2 linked regions of the Danio rerio genome follow. The protein of the gene in region 1 interacts with the protein of each later gene in a pairwise test. Links are inferred from orthologs where the notes say so. Each region holds a gene or a part of one and is shown on either strand. Other genes may lie near its edges.

Region 1 (5,186 bases):
ATATTTAGCTTGGAAAGACTCTCCTTACATTATATTACTATGAGGATGACTAAGCAGTTTTCTGCCTCAAAGGCATTCACTGTGAGCTCACTTAAGCTTACCAATACAAATGTTCAAGTTAACTCCAATATGTTGTTTGCATGCACTTTTCAACTGCAACGAACAGTACTTGATTTGTGAGTTATTTGTTAATTATTGTGACTATACAACACATTAATGATGCCATTATAAGCAATGTATGTTTATTATAACAGCGTCATCATGTTGATTTCTGTTGTGTTACACAATTTATATCATTTAAATGTCACATATATGTTTGAAATGTACATGATTAGTTTCAGTAATTCTCAATGTGTGGTAATTTGTATTTTCTTCATTTATAGGAAACCACACATACACACAAACACACCTATCAGCACACCAATTATAAATGCTTGAAAGTTCTACATCCATCAACCAGATTAAAGTTTGTTTTTTGAGAACTGGACTGTTGCACCTCTTTTTAAGGGAAGCGCATGGCTGGAAAGCAGGAGCTAGTGTAACGCAAACAGTAATAATCGCAAATTGAGTGTATTATTTATATTTTTTAAAGATGTCCATAATGTTAATTATTTTTATTTCAGGTTTAGATTAGGTGTAGCAAGTCAATAATCAGATTTTTTAAATTGAATTTAATTTAGTTTTATTTATATAATTTTAATTTGTAACTATTTAAAGCATTTATAGATTATTTATTTATATTAAAGTATTATTGATACTAAAGCTGTTTTTAATTTCATGTTCATTTTTAGTCATTTGTTTTTGTCATTATTTTTTTAAATTCTCTTTAAGATTTATTTACTTCTCTTAAAGTTTCAGAAGAGCTTTATTTTTTTGTTTATTTGCCATTAATCTAGTGATGCAGGGAAATCTTATCTTATATGTATTTTAAATGTCCAAAATATGTTCAGATACATTATGTTTTGAGCATGCGGATAGCGTACCCCATACTCGATGGCGAGGTCTGTGTGTTCATCGATGTCCACTTTGGCCATGGTGACTCGACCCTTCTGTTTGGCGATGGCCTTTTCCAGCCGCGGGCCGAGGATTTTACAGGGACCACACCATCTACAACAAACACAACACACACCTTTATGTCAGATTCAGATTCATCAAATATTTACAGATACAGGTAAAGTCAGAGTTATTCGCCCCCCACAGATTTTTTTTCTTTTTTTAATATTTCCCAAATGATGTTAAACAGATTCAGGAAATTTTCACAGTATGTCTGATAATATTTTTTCCTCTGGAGAAAGTCTTATTTGTTTCATTTTAGCTAGAATAAAAGCAGTTTTTAATTTTTTAAACACCATTTTAAGGTCAATATTATCAGCCCCATTAAGCTTTATTTGTTTTCGATAGTCTACAGAACAAACCATCGTTATACAATAACTTGTCTAATTACCCTAACCTGCCTAGTTACCCTAATTAAGCCTAGTTAAGCCTTTAAATGTCACTTTAAGCTGTATAAAAGTGTCTTGAAGAATATCTAAACTAATATTATTTACTGTCATCATGGCAAAGATAAAATAAATCAGTTATTACAGATGAGTTATTAAAACTATTATGATTAGAAATGTGCTGAAAAAACTCTTCACTTTGTTAAACAGAAATTGGGGGAAAAAATAAACGGGGGAAATAATTCGACCTCAACTGTATATACAGTATTGTGAAAACGCCTCGGTCTAGTAGTATTTTCACCTGATAAAATGGTTTTATGTAAATAGAAATATTTTCCTGTTTTTAAAAATACTTAGAAAGTCTAATAATTCTGAAATAAATCTTTTCAGTTTAATCTGACTTGATTATTACAATTAATAGCAAAAATAATGTTGGGAAATGTAAGCTGATATTTCCTATTGATACAACACAGCAAAGGACAAAACAAAACATTTTTAGCTGGTAAAAGACTAATTTAAAGAACTAATAAACATATACAATACAAATCATTTCTAATGTCATAACTATTATAAAGATATAATAATATATAATCATAGTATTTAATTGTATTATTATACAGTTAAAGTCAGAATTATTAGAGACTCTGTTTATATTTTTTCCCAATTTCTGTTTAACGGAGGGCAGATTTCTTCAACACATTTCTAAACATAATAGTTTTATTAACTCATCTCTAATACCCGATTTATTTTATCTTTGTCATAATGACAGTAAATAATATTAGACTAGATATTCTTCAAGACACTTCTATACAGCTTAAAGTGACATTTAAAGGCTTCACTAGGTTAATTAGGGTAACTAGGCAGGTTAGAGTAATTAGGCAAGTTATTGTATAATGATGGTTTGTTCTGTAGACTATCAATACAAAATAAATAGCTTTAAGGGGCTAATAATATTGACCTTAAAATGGTGTTTAAAAAAAACTAAAAACTGCTTTTATTCTAGCTGAAATAAAACAAATAAGACTTTCTCCAGAAGAAAAAATATTATCAGACATACTGTGAACATTTCCTTGCTCTGTTAAACATCATTTGGGAAATATTTAACAAAGAAAAAATAAATGAAAGGGGGGGTAATAATTCCGACTTCAACTGTATATCACCATCATACTATTAATTGCAAATAATTTCATCCAGATTGCAAGTTCGTACAGTACATAAAAAAGTTTATATTTCATATATTTATTATATAATTTGTATATAAATACACTTCTATTTGAAAAAAAAAATATTATTATTATTAATAATATTTAAATATGAATATTTGTAAATAATTTATAACATATAACAATAATAATTTATCATTTATAAAATATAAAAATGTAAATATATCTAAGTATTTGTATTTACATATAAATAAGCATAGAAACATATATGCGCACACACATTATGTAAACACAAACTTTTAGTTTGGATGCAATTAATCATTTGACAGCGCTAATAATATTCATTTCAAAATATCAATCAATATTCATCAGGCCAAAATATTTTGTTACCATAGCAACTATAGAATTACCACAACAGATTAATTACTATAGTTGTTGTGTTACCATAGCAACTATGGAATAACCCTGACAGATTATTTGGTTTAGTTGTTGGTGTGGTACCATAGCAACTGTAGATTCACCACAACAGATTACTATAGTCGTTGTGTTACCATAGAAACTATGGAATCAGTACAACAGATTAATTACTATAGTTTTTGTGTTACCATAGCAACTATAAAATCCCCACAACAGATTACTAGACGTTGTGTTACTATGGCAACAATAGAATCACCACAATATATTAACTACTGTGTTTGTTACCATAGCAACTATAAAATCACCACAACAGATTACTATAGCCGTTGTGTTACCATAGCAACTATGGAATCAGTACAACAGCTTAATTACTATAGTTGTTGTATTACCATAGCAACCATAGAATTACAAAAAACAACAGATTAAATACTATAGTTTTGTTGCCATAACGATACAAATGAACTTAATACAAATGAATACAGTATTTTTTCATGTGAGTATATACAGTTTAAGTCAAAATTATTAGCCCGTCAGAATTACCCCCCCCCCCCCCCCCATTTCCCCCCACTTATTCTCTTAGTGAAAAATATAGCTTAAAGGGGCTAATTATTTTGACCTTAAAATGTTTTTTTTTATTTTATTAAAAACTGCTTTTATTCTAGCCGAAATAAAATATCTCCAGAAGAAAAAATATAATCAGACACACTGTAAAAATTTCCTAAATCTGTTAAACATCATTTGGGAAATATAAAAAAAAAAAAAAAAAAAATCAAAGGGGGGCGAATAACTCTGACTTCAACTGTATTTATTGTTGTGTTGTTGTTTTGATGAAATGATCGTCTACGTACTGAGCGTGGAAGTCGATGAGCACGGGCAGCTCGCTGTTGATCACCCTCTCTGTAAAGTCGTCGTGATCCTGCACGTTAAACGACACACTTCTGCTGGTGATGTACGGGAGTCGCGGGATCGAGCGTGAGAGGAGAGGCGGTGCGGCACGAAAACAGGAGGAGAACGAGGACCTGCTGGAGCTGCTGCTGGGGAGAACGAGGACGCGCACATCCTTCACGGAGATGCGAGAAACTCTCCGCGCGAGCAGCCGGAACGCCATCTGAGAAACACACAGAGAGAGAGAGAAAGAGAGTTAAATCATCAGAAAACACAACATCTATTAATTCAGTCAGTAAATAAGAACAACGCTGACAAGGTGGCTTAGTGGTTAGCACTGTCACCAGGGCCGGAGCAAGCTGAACTGCCGCTGTAGGCAGAGGACGATCACGCCGCCCTCAACCCCAATGTGAAAACGAAAGTGACCGGTTATGAAAATAAAGTGAGGTGTTGCGGACCTCTATTCTGCTGCCCTATGCACGGATATAACTGAGGACGCGCGGGTGCTGAGGGAGGGAGGGAGGTGTCGCGGACACCGCGCTCTCTATTCTGCCGCCCTATGCGCGGATATAACTGAGGAAGCGCGGGTGCTGAGGGAGGGAGGGAGGGAGGGAAGTGTCGCTGACGCCGCCCTCTCTATTCTGTCGTCTATGCTCGAATATATCTGAGGACGCTGGTGGTGAGGGAGGTGTCGCGGACATAACTGAGGATGTGGATGGTAAGGGAGGTATCTCGGCCGCCTAGGTCACCTCAATGGACGCGCCGGTCCTGACTGTCACCTTACAGCAATAAAGGTCACTGGTTTAAGTCTCAGCCAGTTGGCATTACCGTGTGGAGCTTGCATGTTCCCCCACAGTCCAAGCACATGCCCTGTAATTGAATTGGCTAAACTAAATTGGCCATAGTGGATTAGTGGTGTGTATGGATATTTCCCAGTACTGGGTTGCAGCTGGAAGGGTATCCGCTGTGTAAAACATTCTAGAAAGGTATGCAGTTCATTCTGCTGTGGCAACCCCTGATGAATAAAGGGACTAAGCTGAAGGAAAATGGTAATTAGGAACAAACAAGTTCACTGATGCTGATCATATTTTAAAACATTCAAAGTCATATTTGTCTAAAGTACTTATTGGCATGCTGAAAATTTAACCCCTTCCACAGCGCCCCGACGAGGTCGCACTGAGGCGCTGTTTTTCCATATGTCCATGTTTATGAATAGATTACACCAAAAAGGTCATGAGTAATCTTGAAAAACTCTACATCAGTTTAAAGCTACATCCCCTAA
Region 2 (5,186 bases), on another chromosome or scaffold:
TGGTTGTTACCAGGTTATGGGGGGAAAAATAGCATGCTCATTTATCAATGCTTGTGATTAGTTTATTATAGTGTATGCAGATGCTCTTCCCTACAGAATCATCCCAATGACTCTAAAATAATAAGTTATTTCTAAATTTGAGCCTTTAAAGTCATCTGATGAAATCAAACTCACAATATGGATCTCAGAAAGACAAAATCTGCTTTTTTTTTCAATATCGTTCAGTAGTAATACTTGTTCAGCCTTTATTAATTATCATTCAACATTTACTAATGTGTTATTAAAATCCAAATTCATGCTTGTTAAGACACTGAGTTAAACATAAACTAAAATGAAACTTTTATTATGATTAAATAACATTAACAAAGAAATACTTGTTCATTGTTTGTTCATTTTAGTGAATGCATTAACTAATACAATCTTCATGTAAAGTACTACTAAACATTCTTACTTTGAGTATTTTACTTGCACCACTGGCAGATAGTTTTGCTTGTTCCTGATGTGAGCCTGTGCTGTTTTGGTTTAGGTGTTCATCGCTCAGTCCAGGTCTTCTGGAAGCCATCGAGATGTGGAGGATGAGGAGCTCACAAGAATATTTGTGATGATCCCGAAAACATTCACTGAGGATGATTTAAAAGAAACATTTAAGGTATGGCGGGGTGTTTAACCTGTATAAAAACAAGCCAGCATTTTATGTAATTCAAAGATGTCTAATAGACATCTAAACATTAACTAGACTAATTATCGTGCTCGATGCTTCATCCATGTCTGGTGTGAACCATAGACTGTAAAATATATGGACGTAGTGTTCGTGACGTCACCCATAGGTTTCTAAAGAGAGCAAAAGAAGCCACAAGTAGGCGTGGCCAACCGTCACCATTTTGTTCGCGCGTCATCACACCCACGGCGGGATACCAAACAAGGGCAAAGAGGCGGAGAGTGAGCGGAGAGTTTAGCTTGGACCTGGCTCAGACACACTTTACTTTGGGAGAACGCTTAATACTTCATCACCTGCGACTCGCTTGTGTTCTGACCACTTGTGCTTGGTTGTACACTATATCAATAAAGTGTTTAGACTTTTAAAAACACTGCTGTAATATATTGAGCCTCTAAACATTGTTCTTATGACGTTTTTCAACAGGAGGAAAACATGAATTACTTCCAAACACTTCAGATATAGTCTGTGTTAGTTAATGTGAGACTATTGATGAAATCCAGCATAACACTGTATGACAACGCTTCAGATGACTGATCTAGAGCCTACAGCTAATCAATCTGACAGATTCTGGAGTGCATTACAGCTCTAAATATAAATATAAACGATTAAATAAAACAAATACATGTATAGAGATGGTATATAAGTATATAACTTTACTCACATGGGAAACGGAGGCCACGTGAATGGTTTGTGTGCACAATTAAGTGCACTCAGCATGCCATGCCATCTAATAATTGTAGGAAACAAGTCCAAAAGGCAGTTGACTGTGTAAAGCTACACAAAACAACACAAAAATACGATAAATATGCCGAGATCAGTGGCTAATCTGCAGGATTCAGCTGAGGTGACGTGACGGCGACCAACGAGATCTAGCTGTCACTCAAGTGGCCACGCCCTTAATTATGCAAACTTAATATAAAGGAAACGGATGAGTTATAAAAAAATTCACCCCCTCACAGTTGTCATGAAGGGTAATATTAGCTGTATTAACCAAAATCTTTTTTTGTAGCAGGCTGTAAACACCTTTTATCTGCTGTAGAGTTGGCCATTCTAACAGTGCGCTCAATTGAAATTTGCTCTGTTTTGGAGCAGGAGCGGCCAGGACTAGCGGAATTTCAGATGGATTGCAGTTTTAGTTACTTCCATATTGGCTTCCTGAGGGAGAGCGGGAGGTTGCCGCTTGATGTGAACGCACCATTAGAGTACTTTTTTTTTTTTTTTTTTTTTTTTTTTTTTTTGTACAAATGACTGAACTAAATTTAAAAGTTGCATGCACATACATTAATTAAATTGCTTAAAAATGCTCTCAATTTACAAAAGCTCCCTAAATAAAGCAGAAGATTACTTATTATTGTTTATTAAATTAATTATTTTATTTTTATTATTTTGACAAACACATTTATTTAGGTTTTGTTTGAGAGACTCGTAATTAGGAAGTGTTTTTTTAGAGTCAGCTTTTTTGCACAAATGCTCTCATTTTACAAAAAGCACCCTAAATAAAAAGGTGGAACATTGCTTATTATTATTATTATTATTATTATTATTATTATTATATTTTAACTATTTATCATTTTGACGGACCTATTTTTTAAAGTTTTGTTTGGGAGACTCCTATTTATGAATCTGGCTCTAGGATTGGGTCACAGAGCTGAGACTGTCAGTTTTGTCAAAGTAGCACAGATTATGTGGTGACTATAATCATGTGCACATGGAAAAGGGGTTAAAATTGTTCCCAAAATGAGAAGGAATGATGCTTATATATTTATTGACATATTCTCTTTCTCTCTCTCTCTCTCCAGGTGTATGGAGATATAGAGTACGCTATCATTATACGAAATAAGACCACTGGTGACAGCAAAGGTCTGGGATACGTCAGATTCCACAAACCATCACAAGCTGCCAAAGCCGTTGAAAACTGTGATAAGAGTAAGAGTCTCATTCTCCATGCTTCACCACTGCCTGTTGTATTTAGATGTGCTTCTAATCCGTCCTCCTCATCAGCTTTCAGAGCTATTATAGCAGAGCCCAGAACCAAGAATTCCTCAGCAGACAACGACTATTTCAGCAACCCCAGGACGACGGAGCACTCCACCAGTGAACTAGGCTCCAGCTCATACGCATTTGGTATGCATCATCTGCACAGTTAGGGCACTGCTCACCCAAAAATGGAAGCTTCATTTACATTTACAAGATATTTTGAAGAATGTTGGAAACGAGCAGCCATTGACCTCCATCCAGAAATAATATGGAGGTCAATGGGTCTCATTCACTAATAATAATAGTGTACGCTTCTTATACTTAGTCCAACAGCGGTGTCTACTGGTGGATGAAAGTTCAATGTGTGTTTAGTCTATCCAGCTCACAATGTTGAATTAGTTTAAATTTAACTCATGTTTGACTCCAATTTTTCAGCACTTAGATGCGAATTTATCCTCAAATGTGGCGATGCGCTAAAATATTTGTCAAACAAATGTTATTTAAAAAAGCATATATACTTAATAAAACGGTAAAAGAGACTAAAGTGCATGGTCTAATCGGAAATAGTGGAAATTAGTTATCTATTTCATTCATGCATAGATAGAAAAATTAATTGATCTGAAACTTTTAATTGCATTTTTTTTCCTGTAAATAATAAAAACTGTATCAGATTGATGAAAATGAACCTGAATACCTGCGTGAACAGGGCCACAATGACTTTTGTTTTTACATCAAAACAATTGCATACAGTGTCTTCTGTCATCAAAACTGGCAAACGTGTCAGAAAAAACTGCTCAATCTCCACGAATATTTGGTTCGCTTATAAAACAAATGTTGTCTGGTTTAGTGGTGTTAGTAAAGCATAGAAAAACGCAAAGCTCTGCATTCCTCGATTAAAAACACTTGCAATCTAGACGCAGTCACCTCATGCTTGTGATGCGGTACAATCCGTAAACATCCTCCTATTAAAATAACGGCTTGGTCTTTATGCTGTAAAATCACTTCGATATTTAATTATTGATCGTGGGCCAAAAATATCGTTATCGTGATCATAATACGATTAATCGTGCAGCCCTACATTACATTAAAACAGTGGTTCTCAAACTGTGGTATGTGTACCACTAGTGGTACGCGGACGAATGAAATGTCATGTGCATGCTATATATATATTTCAAAATTTATCAAAAATGATGTATATAATATGCCATATATGACATATAGCCTATATTTCTGAGGTAATCTGCCACGTCTTTTTTTAACTGTGCAGAGTTGTAGCTGCTTTACTGGGCCTACTACGCTACTGTATTTTAATACTGCTCATATTGGTGGTACTTGGAGAGACTATTTTTTTCTGAGGTGGTACTTAATGAAAAAAGTTTGAGAACCAATGCATTAAAATGAGTGAAGCATGACCGAACTGTCATTTTTTTTGCCTTGTGTTTTTGTCTGAAGATGAATGCTGCACAGCGTTTGGTTGTCTGAAGGTTTATTGTCCTCATCTGGTGTTTTCCTGCAGCTCAGGAGTCCAGCAGCTACAGCGCAGCAGAGTCCTATAGCTCTGACATCATCACCCGCTGCCTGATGGTGTCCTCGCGGGTGTCCGTCTCACAGGAGCAGATCTACAGCCTGTTTGACCTCATCCCGGGCCTGGACTACTGCGAGATACAGAGAGATCAATACGGCTTCAGCAAAGGTGAATAACACTGCAGTCCTTTGTCTACACTCAAGGAAAAAAAGCAAAAGCTGTCACTGTGGTGAGGAGGAAATGCTAAATATTGACATGCTTAACAAGTCACTCATTCATTTATTTTATTTTCGGCTTAGTCCCTTTATTAATCCGGAGTAACCACAGCGGAATGAACCGCCAACTTACCCAGCTCGTTTTTACACAGCGGATGCCCTTCCAGCCGCAACCCATCTCTGGGCACACACTTATTCACACTCATACACCATGAACAATTTATCCTACCCAGTTCAGCTTTACAGCATGTGTTTGGACTGTGGGGGAAACCGGAGCACCCGGAGGAAACCCACACGAGTGCAGGGAGAACATGCAAACTCCACACACAAACGCCAACTGACCAAGCCGAGGCTCGAACCTGCGACCTTCTTGCTGTGAGGCGACAGCACTACCTACTGCGCCACTGCATCACCCGCTTAACAAGTCACTTAAAGGTATTTTTTTTAATCAGTATGTTAGTCTTAGGGATATCTATAAGCTAATGAGCTCCAAAACGATGACAAAAATTACACTTAGAAGATATAAACTTGACATAAATCACCTCGTACTTCAGTTTCTCATCAAATCTTCTGACCAATCAAATGCTCTATTGTAACTGATATGCCCCACCCCCTTCTCATTGCCATCGCCGATGGCTGACAAACTTCACGATGCTGAGGCGGCATCGTGATCCATCGCCCCGCCCACATTTATATTGATATATAATTTATTATTTGCATGTCATCTTAATAGCAATAGTGGTCTTTTCAT

The links. The genes of interacting proteins can lie anywhere in the genome.
Region 2: the proteins of txn2 (region 1) and rbm45 interact in binary tests that used the Homo sapiens proteins (3 or more experiments, as listed by UniProt). The two-hybrid records come from large-scale screens. The link is inferred for Danio rerio from reciprocal best matches to the Homo sapiens genes TXN2 and RBM45.

Annotation. Positions count from the first base shown.
Region 1 is NC_133178.1:3,501,184-3,506,369, forward strand, and holds part of txn2 (thioredoxin, mitochondrial), read right to left. Parts: intron 4,128-5,186; coding exon 3,868-4,127; intron 1,108-3,867; coding exon 984-1,107; intron 1-983.
Region 2 is NC_133184.1:1,467,575-1,472,760, reverse strand, and holds part of rbm45 (RNA-binding protein 45), read left to right. Parts: intron 1-526; coding exon 527-649; intron 650-2,517; coding exon 2,518-2,644; intron 2,645-2,719; coding exon 2,720-2,842; intron 2,843-4,211; coding exon 4,212-4,388; intron 4,389-5,186. UniProt on the Homo sapiens protein: RNA-binding protein with binding specificity for poly(C). May play an important role in neural development.